3 linked regions of the Caenorhabditis elegans genome follow. The protein of the gene in region 3 purifies or fractionates together with the protein of the main gene of each other region. This does not show direct contact. Each region holds a gene or a part of one and is shown on either strand. Other genes may lie near its edges.

What was found. The genes of interacting proteins can lie anywhere in the genome.
Region 1: the proteins of F49C12.15 (region 3) and fbxa-170 fractionate together in Caenorhabditis elegans (co-fractionation; one large-scale study listed by BioGRID). This does not show direct contact.
Region 2: the proteins of F49C12.15 (region 3) and sesn-1 fractionate together in Caenorhabditis elegans (co-fractionation; one large-scale study listed by BioGRID). This does not show direct contact.

The regions. Positions count from the first base shown.
Region 1 is NC_003284.9:1,675,677-1,680,072, forward strand, and holds fbxa-170 (F-box domain-containing protein), read right to left. Parts: upstream 2,446-4,396; 5' UTR 2,432-2,445; coding exon 2,235-2,431; intron 2,182-2,234; coding exon 2,101-2,181; intron 2,050-2,100; coding exon 1,338-2,049; intron 1,064-1,337; coding exon 821-1,063; 3' UTR 529-820; downstream 1-528.
Region 2 is NC_003279.8:27,063-34,414, forward strand, and holds sesn-1 (Sestrin homolog), read right to left. Parts: upstream 5,487-7,352; 5' UTR 5,421-5,486; coding exon 5,350-5,420; intron 5,011-5,349; coding exon 4,707-5,010; intron 4,482-4,706; exon of another isoform or gene 4,461-4,481; intron 3,363-4,460; coding exon 2,707-3,362; intron 2,306-2,706; coding exon 2,038-2,305; intron 1,344-2,037; coding exon 1,218-1,343; 3' UTR 529-1,217; downstream 1-528. UniProt on the Caenorhabditis elegans protein: May function as a negative feedback regulator of TOR function.
Region 3 is NC_003282.8:9,322,585-9,328,045, reverse strand, and holds F49C12.15 (Serine/arginine repetitive matrix protein 2-like), read right to left. Parts: upstream 3,591-5,461; 5' UTR 3,576-3,590; coding exon 3,546-3,575; intron 3,450-3,545; coding exon 3,006-3,449; intron 2,960-3,005; coding exon 2,370-2,959; intron 2,323-2,369; coding exon 2,230-2,322; intron 2,151-2,229; coding exon 1,039-2,150; intron 985-1,038; coding exon 716-984; intron 668-715; coding exon 596-667; 3' UTR 530-595; downstream 1-529. Other genes in the region: clec-183 (C-type lectin domain-containing protein), read right to left, coding at 1-36; nspg-11 (DUF19 domain-containing protein), read left to right, coding at 3,971-4,013, 4,057-4,153, 4,197-4,286, 4,705-4,868, 4,917-5,026, 5,347-5,461.

The sequences.
Region 1 (4,396 bases), on a different chromosome or scaffold from region 3:
GCGGCGCCGATTTGAGGAGTGCTTCTGAAGTGTGAAACGAGTGTATATCTGTGTGAACTGATAAAATTTCATGTAAAGTTTAACTTTAATATTAGGGTGACCGAAAAAGACATGATCCGAGTTGGCCAGTTATCTTGTCTGAACATGATTTCAATTATTATAATTTTTACATCCAAACTATGTATGACTTTCCGCTTTGTTGGATAGTTAAATATTGAACATTTTTGTCGTCTTTTTTTCTGAAAAATTCATGTTTTTTGTTGAATATGGCCAATTCAGTCAAACATTTTGATATTCTTATATAGTTTTTTCTGCGTTGAACTTCAGGCTTCCCAAGTCATGCCACCAGCTCTTTTTATTGTTGTTCACAACCGTTTGTAGGTGCATGTTCACCTTTCTAATTAGATAGTACCTTGCACCTTTTACGACTATGGCAGAAGACCACGAGTTGAGCACCAGTGAATATCGATTACTTACTCCAAACTGAAGTTTCTGACAAATGGAAATCTGCTTGTTTCCAAGAGAACTGCAATGCACAACCATTTATCATATAACACTGGAAAATGAAAATTAGAATGAGCAAAACTTCTAAACGGGGGAATGTGAGATTTTTCAGTTAGAGTTAGTGGAAGGAAGGGGCTCTAAATAACAATATACTCAATATAGGTTGACATTAAATACATTATCTACAAACAAAATGATTCTATACAAATATTCACATATAACGATAAAATTTGATTTTAATCGCCATTGTAATATATTACATTCACAAATGAAACAATTATATACAAATATTTACATGTAAAGATAGTATTCAATTTTAATCGGAATTGGAACGTTTTTTGATCGAGAACTTGTCAACTGGATCGTCTTCATCAGGCTCATCATTTTTTCCAAAAGTAACCGTGAACTTCGCATTGGCTGGAGTGAAATAATCAAATGCTTGCTCGTCTTCCTCTTCATTAGCGACAAAGATAAGTCCAAAAACATTCGCAACACTTGGTAGGTCCATGACTCTGCTAGTGATATCAGCGCTTATGAAATCGGAAGATTCATCAATCATCTGAAAATAAGACTTTTGCAAATCTGGGAACTTTGCCTTTTAATGTGAAGTGGCGCACTTCTAAGAAGTCTAAAACTGAAGAAGTTGGTTGATTGGAAACTGGGCATGTCTACTTATTTTGGAGGAAGTTCAAAAATTGGGATTTGTCATCATTTCTCGTTTTTTTTTTCAATTTTTTCTTTAGTAAATATTTCTGAATTATAGACAATTTTGGATTTCTTGAAGCGAAATCCCAATCCCTTCTACATCATCTTCAATATTCACATAAACTCACGTCTCGAAGTTTCACAGCGTCTTCTTCGGTGAACTCCCGTAGCACGACGTCGAATAATTTAAAATGGAAGAAGCTTCCAATTGGGACATCCAAACTGAAGCCTCTACCAAAAAACCTCTCAGCCATCTTCCATTGGTCCATGCTTGAAAGATGCTCACAATGCTCGAGGGTTTCAAGTTCCGCGCGATCGAAAGTGTAGGGATCGATATTGAGTGATTCCAATTTTCCAGCAGGGAAGATCTCCAATAGTGAGGCATAATCGCTGATCGATACTTGAAGTGCATCGAAGTCTTCTACCTCAATGCTTCTCGTTGACTTGAGCATCTTAGTGATATCCGTGAAGCATTTCGTGTACAAATCTTTTTCCTCGATACTGAAATCGATAATGAGACTCTGCAGTATCACTCTTCGGTTTTCCAACACCAATTTCAAGTCATTGTGGCACAACTGAACGGCATCGCCTCCTTGAATGAATTTATTCGATGGTTCCAACTTCGGCTCTGTGTCGTCATACTGATCGACACAGGAAACTTTGCATCCTCCATTTACCGGTTGGTAAGTGATTTTGTATCCGTCGTACTCGATCCTTGAAAAATTATTTTCATCCGAACCATTAACCGAATAATTGTGAATGATGTTAAAATCCTCGAGATCAACTTCCGGGATTCTCACGACATCGCGGAACCCTGTGCATACTTTTGCGAGAGCCAATCTGCAATTCATATTTTATTATTTATTCAACTTTTTTTCAAAACTCTCTTACGTGTCAATGAAATCAACCCTGTCGACGATGAAATGAATCATATTGAGTGGGAGAGCATACATAGTCGATTTTGAATCGAGACTGAAAGATTTAAAAATTTATAATTTTAGGTTGATGTTTAAACCAATTTTTACCTTTTATCATGGTCCAAATTATCATTCACGTTGGAGAAATGATAGTACCAGTAGTCGAACTCCTCTTGTGGAATAGCGTCCTTTCCAACCTTCCTACAGAAGTTCTCATAGGCCTTTGAAAGTCGAGTCTTATCGAGTGCTTCGTAGAGAATGCATGCTCGAATGATTTGGTCGTTTTTGCGCAAAGAAGCCGACATTTGAGGAATTGTCTGAAAAACAATACAATTGAATAACAGTAAACTGGGAATTATTTTAATAATTAGAGTTACTAAGAAACGAGCAGATAATGAGATTCCATACAATTAAGTATTTCAAAAGTATGAAAAAAAAACAACTTTTTAAAAAGAGCAAAAACAAAGAAGATTGGATGAAGAATCATCGCCCAAAAACAAATGAAAATTTTGATTAAAAAGGAGAAAAATGGAGAAAAATACTTGTAAAAATACAAATGCAAATCGATTGCGAAACAAGGGAAGAGAATGCGTGGACACCAGAACACTTGCCGCTGTGAATGTAGGATGGCGCACCGCGGTCTGTTCAATAGAGCGCACATGCGCATTTACTCGGCCGCGGCCACGATGAACGGTCATGATCCAATAGTTTTCAGAAACAATGATTATTTGTCTGGATTTGTTTGAATGAGGAGTATCGGTTTGTAATTTTTCATTTTTCGAAATATACAGGGTGGTCCATAATTATGGCGACCTGCTACACGCGTGCAAGAACTTGATTTCTGGGGTTACCCTGTTACGAAAGTTTTAAAATTTGATTATTTAAAAAAAGTTCACAATATTTACTGTCGTTCACGTCAATTTCCATACAACATGCTTCAACTTTGAAAGTAGTGAGAGCCTTACAACATCGGTAGTCTATAATTTTCCTCCATTTTATAGGAGGTCTAGCGCCCGACGTCTCCTGCTGCGCTCATAGGATCAAGCAACTAGTTTCTATGTTTTAAATAATTATCAAGACTTCCGACACTCAAAATAGCAAAATCCGAGACGATAGACATATTTTGAGCCAACTTATGTTCGGATTTAGGTCGTTTTTTGCCCTCTAATAACAGTGCAAACAGTCCGTTGCAAAAAAAATTGCCCAAACATTCTGTATTCTGTGGAATATATCGAAATATTGAAAACCAAATTATCATTTTAAGCTAAGACAAATTAAAACTGGACACATTCGCATTTTCAACATGAATGAGCGTTGGTAAGGAAGAAAAATCACAAAACTTGGGGGAGCTTGCTTTTCTTGACTTTATCAATTTTCACAAGATGCCACTTCCGTCACCGGACACCAATCTCAAAAATTATTTGTGAAAAGCTTTGTTGTATCAAGGGTATTCTTAATATATAATCAAAATAATAAATCACTCAAAGTATCTCATTTAAAAATCACCAATAAGCTAAATCGAGCCTACTTGTGCGCTACGGCCATTCGGATTTTTGAGTGTCTTGTGTTCTGTGCGGATGTAGGTGGTGATAACTATCAAGTATTATATGTCGTTAAGTTTGTTTTTTTCTAACCAATAAAATGTGTATATTCACTTCTTTTGCTCGCTGTCCAAAAAAAAGTTACAGTGCCCCAAAGTGGTCGCCATAATTATGGACCACCCTGTGAAAGTTTTAGTTTCAATTTGGAGAGTGTTGAGTTTTCAACTCATTGGAAAACGATTTTAAATGTTTAAAGTTGTAGTTAATAAAGTGTTCAAAACCACACGAATGGTGCCAGAATGACCGAATATAATAATGTAAAACTTTTCACAAAAAAAGTTTGAAAGTTGTCAAAAAATGACAGTTACTCAGTTGATAAATTGGAATTGCTGGTAAAGCCAACCGACAGCCGACCGACAAATTTTCGTCTGATAGAAAATTTATAGGATAGTAAAAATTTTAGCAGAGCTCGCTGTACCAGCTGAAAGCCGAAAAAATCAGTCAGCCGCACACTCCTATTCAATTTTTTTTTTTGTTTGTTTTAAGTTCAAATTCCACTCGGATTTCAATGGTTACTTAACTGTTATTTTACGTTCTCGGTGAAAACATTGTAAATGAGAAGCAAGAATGAGATACCATTGAATGAAAAACAAAAAATTAAAACAAAAAAGTGAGCAATAAGTGTTGTATATTTACGTATCATGATAAAAAATTCAAAAAAATTTTCTA
Region 2 (7,352 bases), on a different chromosome or scaffold from region 3:
TTAAAACTTAAAAAAAACTACAAAATTATTATGAATCAAATTTGAAACCGTGAATCAATCTCCGCGGAAGGGCGAGTCTATACTGCTGCAAGCGCACTCTATCGCAAATGTACAATTGGCGGTTTTTCAAACAGGAATTAATCGGATTCTCGTAGTTTATTTTGGATTTCTTTTTTCGGGAACATATTGGTGTTTTTGCGTTCAATATTCAAATTTAGAGGAAAACTGCTTCAAATATTTAGGTAAACTCTTGAAACCGCTGAAAATAGGCAAAAATAATTATTTTTGTATTTTTTAGGCTACTTTCTATACTTTTGCGTAAATACTATAGTTTTTCTATAAAACACCCATTAAAATTATTTTTATAAAATGATTTTTCCAATAAAAATAAAATGCGCAAAATGATTCTTTTCCAGAATCCTATATGCGCCTTTAAAATCTCTCGGATTACTGTAGTTTCAAAGAAATTATCCTTTATATTTTTAATTTTAAATTTTTTCCTGAATGTCAAATATTAGGGGAAAAATTATAATAATATGTGCTTTATTCATATGAGTGTAGAATTAGTGAAAAAGAAAAAAAACATGTATGGACTGTAAAATTGGAATTTTAGCGAGAAAATAAAAATAATATGCAGAAAAAATTAAAATTTTCAGGAAAAAAGTCAGTAAAGCCATCAAAAACTACTCGATTTTGAAGGAAATCAGCAAGAAAAATTAGAAAAAAGTATTTTTAAGTTGGAAAACCCCTGCTTGAATTTGTACACTAAATTGGGCATAAAAGCGTACAAATTCGCAAAAACCGGTAAAAATCTGGGGATCGTGATGGATGGAGTGTTTTGTGAAAAAATGCAGCGAAAAATTGAGTAGACAATTTCAAAAATGTCGATTTTTGAAATTTGTGACGAAAAAATTGAACAAAAACTGTTTTTTTTTGGAATTTTCAACAAGAAGTTTTATAAATTTTTTTGTTTAAAATTTTGAATATTATATGAGTTTGGTTTCACTTAACAGAACAATTCGAACAAAAGTATTCTAGAAAGGAAATGTGCGCTCCAGCACACTATTTGCCCGTGGAGCGCACTTGTGTGCACGAACGCTAGCGAGAATGTGTGGTAGAAAGGGAGGGAATAGGAAATATTAACAAAATTGGGCAAAATATGTAAGATTCGGAGAAAGAATTGGAGAAAAATATGTATTTCGAGCTCCGCGAGCTGATCAATCCAAAGGCTTTCTCCATCCTTTTTTCGAGAGGCACATTGCATTATAGTTACACACAGCACGTGTATAATGGAACATTGAAGCCTGGAAACGAGCCATCGCTACCATCATTACCACGTGGATCTGAAAAAATTAAAGTTTGATGATTCGAAAATTTTCTGGAAAAGTTATGATTGTGAGATAAATTGAATTCTTTGAAAAATCAAAATTCAAAAGCTTGTAGAAAATTTTATATATTTTTTTAAGCGTATTTTTTCCGTATACATTTCCAAATTTTTTTGTTACCCAATTTTAAAGATTTTCTTGAATTTTAAAATTTCTTTCAGTAAAAACTTTTTTTCAACTTTTTGATTTTTTTTCCGCATTTTTTAAAATTTTATTCAGAATTATTAGATTCTTTTGAATTTAACGAATTTTTTTCGCTAAAAAATTGTTCGATTTTTCCCGAATTAAGAAAAATATTATTTGGTTTTTGAATTATTTTCCTGATTTTTTTCGATTAATAAATTTGTAAAAACAATTTTTTTTCTAATTTTTGGTTTTGATGATTGTGTTTTTTTTCTGAACTTTACAGTTTTCAAAGTTTACACCGAACTTCCACATTAAAAAATTCTGATACAAAAAAGTATTCACATGATTTTTAAAATTTAAATATTTTTCAAAAAAAATAATATTTAAACTGTGTTTTTTTCGGAATTTTTTTTCGATTTTTTCCGAGTTTTTTTTGGAATTTTTTCCTTTCTGCTCCAAAAATATTCAAATTCAATGTTGTGTAGAAATTTTATTCAAAAAAAGTGTTCAACTTCTGAGTCTAAACCTTTTCCGAATCCTTAAATCCTGGCAGAGCTCTCGTGAATTCAGTTGTCAATTTATGTGGATAGCAAGCTGCCAGTTTAATGAAAGTTTTAGTTCCTTTGTCAAGTACTCGATTAATTTTCGAATAATCATAATCATCGACTCGAACACCATATAATCCTTGAGTATAGTTCCAAATTGCTTCACGGAATGCAGCAGTGTCAATTTCATTCTGATTCACGGCGGCTGGTGGTTCTCCGTCTCCAGATGCATGGGATGAGCCGGATGGCCTGAAAAATTAATTTTTTGGAATTATTATATTTTTCTGTTTTTGAAATTTCATGCATCTCGAATATTTTAACAAAATTACCAAATTCAACTAGATTTCTTACAACTTTCACTGTGTCGATTTACGGGTTCGTTATACGAATTGAATTTGTTTATCGATAGAATATTAAAATTTAGCTAAAATTGAGAAGAATATAAGAAGAAATTAATTTTTTTAATTTCAAAAATCGAGCCAGTAAATCGACACGAGCGATCGACACAGTAGTCATTTAAAGACCAGTTTCCGCCACGAAATATTTCGCGCTTCAAACATGTTGCGTAGTACGTATTCTCAAAATTGTGCGTTCACGTATAATATTTATGCGAATTTTTGGTCTACTTTGTTAGAGAAATCATCACTAACATATTGCCAGTAAGAGTCCGAATATGATCGAACATTCGATCAAGCCGTGACGTCAGTGTATCCGTATACTCATTCATCGTATTATAAACATGATCCCATCCAAATTCTTCAACTCGGAATGGCGGAATATCCTTTTCAGGTCGCTTTCTAAAATCAATATATCCAAATGTTCGATGATGCGAGTAAATTGGATAATTACACGGCGGCTCTTTTTCCATAATATCTTCTCCATTTTCATCGATATTTGCAAGAAGAAGTACAGGCGAGTAGTTTTTCCGATTGGAACTATATGTTGCTGCAGGAGCACTAATTAATGATTCAATAGTTTCAGTAGTCATTGCACACATCTTCGCTGGTGGCCTAGTTTGTCCTTTTTCCGTCTTTTTCAGCTCACTGATCAAATATTCGACTTCAGTTGGCCGACGATCTGGGACTTTTCGGAAATAGGCCGACATTCTCGCCTCCCAATAGTCGAGATCATCGATATTAAGGAAATCAATCTCATCTTGTGTCAAATCAACACGACGTTCCAATCCAATACAGCATATAACTGTGCACATTGCGTGAGTCATTGACATTATTCCGACGGCGTGGTGGAGAGAGCAAACCGAGAAAAACGCAGGACCACCGTCTGGCGTGCGGCGAGCGAAGAGCACCTGGAAATTTTCAAATTCTTGAGAAAAACCTAACATCGTTGTTATACGTTCGTTCTCTTGGCATTGGAGTTGGCAGAATTTGTTTTGAAAAAACGTTGTTTTTTTTTTGAAAGAACATTTTTTTATTACGGGACCATGAGATCATGAGAATTCCTATTTACTGGCGCGAAAATATTGGCAGGCCACGGCAACGAGAGAGCATATGGCAAAGAGAGACGCATCTTATTTTGTCTTGTAATTTTTTTTTAAAATAATTTACAATCCCTTTTCAACTATCGTGATTGTAAAATATTACAAATTTCAGAATTTCGCTACCAAATTATTACTGGAAAACTAAACTCTGAGAATGCGCATTGAGCAACATATTTGACGCGCAAAGCATCTCGTAGCGAAAACTACAGTTATTCTTTAAATGACTACTGTAGCGCTTGTGTCGATTTACGGGTTCGGTTTTTGAAATAATTTTCTTTTCGAGAAGTGACAGTGATATTCCATTTTCCTTCTTTTCTTCCTATTATTTTATCATTATTTGCTTAATTTTAATATTCAATTCATAACTAAATTACTTTAATTCATTTCGAGTAGACATTCAAAGAATTCCGGTAGTTTTCGCTTCGAGATATTTTGCGCGTGAAATATGTTGTGAAATACGCATTCTTAGAATATGGTGTTCCCGTAATATTCAGAAAAGAAAAGATTTCCAAGAACTTTCTGAAGATTTCAATATTTGCAAAATCAGAAACCAGTTCTGAATATTCTTTATTTTTAGAAATTTTTCAAGGTTTTCTAAATAACTTTTCTAAATAACCTACCGTATTTCTTCTATTAATATGGCTGCAATACTATTTTTCGATGGTCTTCCCGCTTGCAATACTATTAGGGAGTGCAAGTCTAATAGGGAGTGCCATACTATTCTTCAGAAAATTTTTCTGTGTTGGGGCTTACTAGATTCTACTTGAAAAAACTCCAATTTTATTTGGAAGTATAGAAAATTTGATTGAAATTGCAACAAAAAGGTACAATAACTTCAATCTCTAAAAATTTTGTTATAAACTGTTGCAAAATAGGCAAAAAATGTTATTAAAATTTTAAAATTAGTAAGGAGTGTTTGCAACAAAAAAAAGTAGGTGCAAGACTATTAGGGAGTGCAACACTAATAGGGAGTGCAATACTAATTTTCGGAAGGTCTCCGAGGGGCAATACTAATAGGGAGTGCAAATCTAATAGGGAGGCCATATTAATAGAAGATATACGGTATATATAGCTTTGAAAAATCGGAAAATGCCTAATTTTTACTTTTTGAGGTTTGAAAATCTCTAAAAATTCAATAAAATTTCAAATTACCGCTAGATTTTTCCAATGAATCATCCATGGTCTATGACAGAGCATTCGATTCAAATAATCCAATTTTCGAAATTTCATGTATGACCAATCAATGCCCAACAACCACATTTGTTGTCCACCCTTTTCCAGAAATTTGCGACGATGATGATCCATAAGTGATAGGCATCTGTGACGTGATGCAGCCATTAGTGCAAGATAATGACGAGCCGAAGCTGGTAGATCACTTATATCAACGAACATATGGCCATAACTTCCTGTCATATGAACATGTAGAGTTGGGTGTTTACATGTGAAACGGAATAATCTGGAAACGTGAGGGAAATTAGTTCGAGACGGGGAGGGGCAGGTTGGCGGTGCCAACCGACAGCCGAACATTGGGGTTTCTCAGCTGGTAGCGCCAGCCGACAGTCTACTGCAGTACTGCAGATAAATTTTCGTCGGCTGTCGGCTGGTGAAAATTTTCATGAAAATCAATAATTTTAAAGAAATTGTTGCAAATTTTTCCCAAACTTGACCAAATTTGTTGGCTGGCTGTACCAGCCGACACCCGAAATTTAGAACATTGATTAGAGGCTGCTTGGCAGAAATAATTTTAAATTCAGAAATTCAATTCGTTTTCAAAAAATATTTTTTAAAACTTTACCGATCAACTTCTGGAATCGGATCAAAATTGAGCCAATCCATGGCTTTTCGTCTTTTAGTTGTAGTGTGCATTGTGTAGATCTTTTTATATTGCTGCGAGGTGAGTAAATGAAGAATTTTCGCGACCCGTTTCTGAAAAAACTCAGTTTTCTAAGGAAATTTTGAAAATAAATTCGAGAAAAAGAAACTGAGTCAGCAAAAGAAAATTGGAAATGTCTGTCTGGAAATATTCGAATATTATATTCAAAAGTTTTCAAAAAAACAACGAAATTACAAGCAATTGTGATCAGAAACCGCGGAAGGAACTGGACGAAAAAAATTATCTTTGAGACGAATCTCTTTGCATCTTTGTGATCTAAAAGATTAATAAAGGTTGTCATCACATTTTTCGAGATTTGGGAATGTGATAAGGGTGAAAAATGGAGATTAATTGTGGTAAAATGAGGAAAAACCTAATTTTTGGTGAGAAAATTGTGGAAAAACTATAAAAGAATCTTTATGGAGTTTAAAACTCAAGTTTTTCACGCTTTTCCGCACTGTGCGGAACGTTTTTTGAGAGAATTTGGCCGAATTCGGTGATTAAAAAAATAATTTCAAAACTTTGCGCCTCAATTGTGATGTATTACCGTACTCTGTTGCCATTCCACCAAAATTTCCTTCATTGTTTTGCCATTTTTCTGCATAATAACTGTTCTGGGTTTTTTTGCTTCATGTGCCCAAATGTACGAATTTCCCTAAAAATTATACCTATTTTTTCAAAATTTTTAATCGCTAGAATTTTTTTTTCTGCATTTTCTTTAAAAAAAGAGATTTCTCGCAAGTAGAAGGAGAAAAAATGTGTGGCTATACTTCTTCTTAAAGAATGCACGACTAGCCATAGCTCAAGCCCCCTCTGGAACGTTCCATCTTCCTCCCATTTTCCCACGTTCAAGAATCATCAGCTTCTTCTCCCTCAGCTTCTCTTCTTCTAAAACCACAACTAGACAAATGTTCTTGTTTTCCACCCTATTTTTCACATAAAACCGCCGAGAAACCCGCTATCACAGACTCAATGCGCACCGGAGGGGCTCTTTGTGTGTGTGTACTGATCTCTGCGTTATATTCGAACACCGGCGCACACTCGGATTGAACCAGAGGGGGGGGGGGAGGGGGGGGGGGGGGTGAAAAAAGAGAAATACTCTGAAATTCCATAAAATCTAGAAGAAGAAAGAAAACAAAGGAAAAATTGGACATTCCGAAGTCAGGCTAAAAAATCTCATAAAACAAAATCTATTCGATTTGTGACCATTTTCATCTATCTCTCTCAAAACCCGAATAAACAAAGCCTCCCGTCCCCAAAGTGTGCTCTCATGCTCTTCTGGAGCCTTCTAGACTGTCTGTAGAGCCTAGAGACAGCGGAATTGCACTGAAGTGATGGAGAGACGTAGAGAAAACGCCTGAAGAAAAAAACGAACACTTTGGTGGAGGAGGAGATGGCTTCCCTCCAAATAAACAACAATTTCTATCGTTTCTCTGTGATTGTGTTCTCTTCTATGTATACTGTTACGATATTGAACAGGAAATTAAATTGAGCACTCTGAATACATAATACACAATAAATAAATACAAAAACTATAGTTTCAGCACAAAAAATTCGAAAAAAAAACGATTTTTTTTGTCCGAGAGGAGTATATGGCCTAGAAAAAGAAAACTCGGCCACTCTGATGCAATAAATTTAAAAAATTATGGCCGAATTTTAGATTTCTCAGGCCAATTTGATACGTTTCTCGAAAAGCCATAAATTAGTCGGTTTTTCACGGGCTTCTTGCCTTCCTCATTGCATTTTTCGCGCTCCATTGGCAATCTCCTGCTGGACAACGCGTGGGAAATCGTGTGCCCCACACGGGCAAATACATTTTGTTTTACAAAGAAAACCGTGCCGCGACGCGACACGCAACGAGCCGTAAATCTACCCCAGATATGGCCGAGCTCAAATGGCCTAACCTGTCAAAATCTTCCACTTCA
Region 3 (5,461 bases):
AGCTCCTAAGAGAAGAGTTACTGGAAGTAGACGCATTTTTTGAACCAGTCTGTTTAGACAATTCCCAGCCGGCTTATATGGAACACTTTTTGAAATTATAATGAATGAATTTGCATGATGAAATGGAAATTAGAGGAAATAATTTGCAAATTGAAAATCAGAAATTATTGATGTTTGATACCTTTATGAATTTTTCGAAAGTTTTATATTTGAAAATTTTACCTTTTTTATCTTTCAAATTTTGAAGATAGAGAAACGAATTCGAGAAAATGTAATTGTCTTTCTTCCTGCACTGTTAGATGAAAATGGCTTAATGAACTGATGGTGCCTAGATCACCATCTCACTCGGGTGGCTCACAAACAACGTGCGAATATGGTCGTTTTCGTGAAGCGTAAAAATGGGCCCTTTGCGGCCTAATGCGGATACCATTTCAAGACACAGACCTGGCAAAGTGAACAGTTGTAAATTTTAGGCATTCGGAAAGCTCTTTCTATAAAAACATTTCTCGACTAACAGAATGGACAATTTCAATAAAAATTCATTTTTTCATGGCTCAATACATCAGTTCAGTTCAAGTATCTAGTAGTAGTCCAGTTATTTTTGCTCCTCGTCTTTTTTCTCTTCATCTCCCAAAATGTTACTGGCTTGACGAGCAATTGTTTTAGTCTGAAAATCAAAACATTCAGAAAATGAAAATACATACAGAAAACTGACATGACTAGTAGTATTTGCACTTGTGAGATTCCATTCTGAGCTCTTTTCCCACAACTTTTGTCCTTTGAATGTGAAACCAAGAATTTCAACTTCTGGATGTTTTTCAGCAAGAAGCATGAAATTAACATTAAGCACAAGTCGTTTCTTGTCAATGAGCATATCCAATTGAACACTCTCAGGGAAAGCACGTTGTCCATAAGAAGTTGAAGGAACTGTTTCAGAATTCACTTTGATTGGTGTCATTTCCAAAGTTTGATGGGTTTCTTTGACTTAAAATTATAATATTTTTGACTGAATATATAAAAATTAAGAATTAAACTAACCTGCACTCAAAGTCACAATATTCGACTCATCCGTCTGATTGAATGTTCTCTTCAAAGTTGGAGTTGCAGGAGATGAAGCTCTCGATCTGGCTCTCAATCTCTCACTCAGATTCACTTTTTCCTCTTTCACAGTTTCTTCTTTCTTCTCACTAATCTCAGGTGGCTTTCCATCTTCTTGGCGAACTTCACGAATGACTTTAGTTTCCTTCACGCGAAGTGTTCCTTTTGGAGATTTTGAAGCAGATCTGGGACCAGTAGAAGCTGCAACACGTTCTTTATGCAAATCTTTAGCAGACATAAAAGTCGAATTGGCTGATCCAGTGTTGTACATGTAGACGGAGGTGCCAGGAGAAGTTGGAGGTTTTGAACTGATCATGGAAGATGTTACATCAGTTTTTCTTGCCTCTTCCTTCTTTTCCAACAAACTGGCCAAATTCTTCGATGCAGATGGTTTCTTCAAGCTCAAACTTTTATCCAAATCAATTTCATTGTCACCGTTTCTTGAAACTGATCGCTCTCTAATGCTCATTGCACCACGCCGAGACGGACCCTCGTCGGGAGTTTTCTGCATGGAATTCTTCACTTTGGATTCAAGAACTGAAGAGTTGAGAGAAGAAGCTGGACTTTTCGGAGTGGACGTGGCTTTCGGGAAAGATTGATAAAAAGTCTCATTCCCCGTTGAGTCGACATGCTCTGAAACCTTAATCTCACTCAACTTGATTGGATCCTGATCTGGACGAGCATCCTTCTTGCATGACTGTCTATCAGGACTTGGAGTTCTGTTAGTTTTACTATCCCTCTTTTGGAGAGCCTTATGTCTCTTGGCACGAGAACGAGATCTACGCGAAGAACCAGAAATATTCGGAGTCTTTGGAGAATTGATGGAAGAAGAATTTTTGGAAGATGAACTGGTTGATGCTGGAGGTGCAGAAGGTTTCGTTCCTTGGAGAATAGATACCACTGATTTTCCAACAGTTTTGTTATCATCCTTCTTTTTCTCATCGAAGAAGAACTTGAGTTCTCTGTATTCTGACGTTTCTTCTCCAAATGATCCCATTTCGTGATGCCACATTTCCTTCATTTCAGCGACAGAACTGTGACGAATTGTGATTCTGAAAGTTTTTGATTTCAAACTACATTTATAAATTAATCAGACTCCTACGCTTTTATTAAAAAGTAACAGTCACTTACCCAATGTTTTTGCTGTCAAACATGAGATCCTCACTGAAAGTGATAGTCTTGGTTGGATCAAATGTGGTCTTGGAAGAGTTAATCGAAACATTTCTGTAAAATTTAAATGAGATAAAGTTTACCATTGACAAATCGCTCACCCAGAGACATTAACCCCAGTAAGACCAATCTTAAATTCCTCAGATCTGATGTACTTCTGATCAACAACAGAAATAGTTTCCGAACATTGAACATTCAGAAATCCTTCCGTTGATTTTCCATGATCTCCCGAGATTTTCGTCTTGCAAATGTTTGCATAGCTCTTCTCTTCTGTGATGGACGAAGTTTTACCCGAACGAATCTTTCTCACATTCTGCACTGTATGAATATAAATTCCTTTGGAGGAATAGTGAATCTTCGTAGCAAACTCTTCTTCTGGTTCATCGTCTGATGACTTGTTCAAATCTGTTGACGAACGAGAAGTTCCAACATACTCAGCTTCAACCATTTCAGCAAACAACAGCTTACGGTCATCAAGGGAGAGCTTCTTGGAAGTCAAAAGAACTTTGGTCACAAACTGAACAGTCTTCTTTTCACTTGCACCAATGACTTGTTGCTCGGTGAGAATAAAAAGAGGAGATGGAAGATTAATGCAATCCGGTGGTGGCAGTTTTTTTGATCCAACTGAACTTTTTTTGGTCAAATGTGTTGGGAGGCGAAGGGGAGGAAGAGGTTGAATAGGTTTCTCAATCTGAAATAGAATATTTAGATGGATGTAGGAATACATAATTTGTTACCTTTTCTGGACGATCTCTGTAGCGAATTGGAATTGATTGAGCACGAGTACGTGAAGTTGATCTAGATCGAGAACGAGATGCTGACGATGATGGAGACCGACGACGAGCACTTCTAGATCTTCTCAGCTTGCCACCACTTGCAGATCTAGTACGAGCAAGGCGGATTTGTTGGTTCATTGTCGATCGGCTTCTGCTTCGGCTTCTACTTCTGGAACGAGAAGATGCAGTAGACTGAGCACTTCGGATAGCACTATTCACAATAGCCTGACGTCGAAGATCAGCTGATCCACGTCGAGCACGTTTTGGGTTCTCAACTTCACTGATAATTGTGATCTTTCTTTTTGTATCCTTCTCAAGTTTGATTGTAATCTCTGCTGGTGGCTGATCACTTGCAGAGACATAAAGACTTTCTTTGTCGCTCATCGAATCAACTTCAGTGCTTTTCTGGAAAATTACTCTAATTGTAAAAGTTAGTTTTTAAAAGGATTTCACGAACAGTTTACTGCATAAATTGTGAATGAAATCCAGAGTTTGACTCACCTTATCACTAGAACGTTTCTTGCTCTCCATATTTTAATTTCGTTGTCAGCGAAATAAATTTAAACTGCCAGAAATCTCCTTTAAATATAGACGATTGACCTTTCGATTCTAGCGGTCACGGAAATAATATTTCAACTCTCGTAATTTCTAATATTTTGTTAAATTTTTTAAAAGTTATTTGTTATACATTTTTCATCCCATTTGAGGCGTCCTCTCGAAAAAATAAAGTTTACATTTCAGAAATATATGTCCTTTATGTTCTAAAACTGTTGAACTAATAAATCCGATTACTCTTTGCCAACTCTTATCAATAATTAATAGAGACTAGAGAGTTTAGAGAGACGCCGAGAAAATTGATAATCTCGTTGAATTGAATTAAATTTTTACTGAACTGTGAGGAGTGGTATACTTTCTAAACGAAAATTATGACACTGAATATGAAAAAGCTATTAATCCTAACAGCCATTGGTAAGTCTATAAATATATTTTCAAAACAATCCATAAATTCGAGGTACATCATTGGCAAACGCCTCGTGTGACACTACAAAGTTCGTTGCCTGCCAGGACAAATTTGCAGATAAATTGGGAATCGATAGAGTTTTTAATTGGTTAGTTGAACGCGAATTAATCTTAATTTTTTTTTGATTCTAGGTTGAACCCTCTTGGTCTCACACTTCAAATTCAAGATATCTACATAAATGGTGGAACTGGTGGTGTTAGAGGATTGAATGCTGTTTGCAAGTAAGTAAAGTCAACAAGGGTTTTGTTGTAAGTTGTTACACTCCAGATGATTACCAGAGGACTATTGTATCAAAGAGAGCTAATTTTGGTAGAGACAAAGAATTACAGGTTTTAAAAATTTGTTTTGATTTATTGTTCGGCTCAAAAAGTGAAAGATTTTAAACCGGGTGGGCTGATGGGAGGGTCTCTCATTCGCCTTTTCCGTAGCTCTACGAGCAGCCTCTACTTACTCTTTTTCTGCGCATCATAGTGCATCGGGCGCTTTTCCTGAGCAAAAAACGGAGAGGCGTTTTATGTACACCGGGGAATTTCTAGTTTGTAGAAGTGAATGATTTATCAGACAAAAATAAAATACAAAATTATTGCGAGGATTTATAAAATCTTCGATTTCACTGATCATAATAAATTTCAACTTCAGTTCATATAATTCAATGGTTCAGTGTCTTGCCGATGCATCAACAACGACTTTTGAATGTTTTGACATAGGATATCTCTTGAATCATTCAAATGCTCCAAACCAAGCATATTCATATGGTTTCTTGATGAGTATGCTACAGTATCAATGTGGAGCTGGTTTTTATCGTAAGTTCCAGAAAGAATTGTACACTTCTGAAATATTTATATTTTCAGTGGCTTCTGACAATTGGTCGTGTATGCAGCGAATCTACAATGGAAAGAATGCAACAATGTACGGATGTATTACTGATTTCGTGCTCAATGCTCAAGAAGATCCGAAGAAGGTGAGAAAACTAAAATTCTTAAAACTTTTGTTTTGTAAATCAAAAACAAAGGTTAACACAGAAAAGCATAGAGTTCAACTAATAAGTGTGAACTTATTGATACCAACACACTATTCGATCTCACCACGAACTAATTATTTTCAAATCGGAGATGTGCCTTTAATAAGTACAGTAACCAATTTTTTCTTGCTGAACATCGAGAACTGGGTTACTGTATTCCTTAAAGGCGCATATATTTTTTGCCGCCTTCCTTCCAAAAAATTTTGGTTCGTGGCGAGAGCGCGCCTAAAACTTTTTCAAGCATAAATAACCATTTGAAGGGTTGCAACTATGTTCAAACTGGAATGGATTGTTTTTCGAAAGCATCAATACTCCAAGGATGTCCAGATGAGCTGAAATATTATGGATGCGAGTCTTTCCGTCAGTATTCTCTTC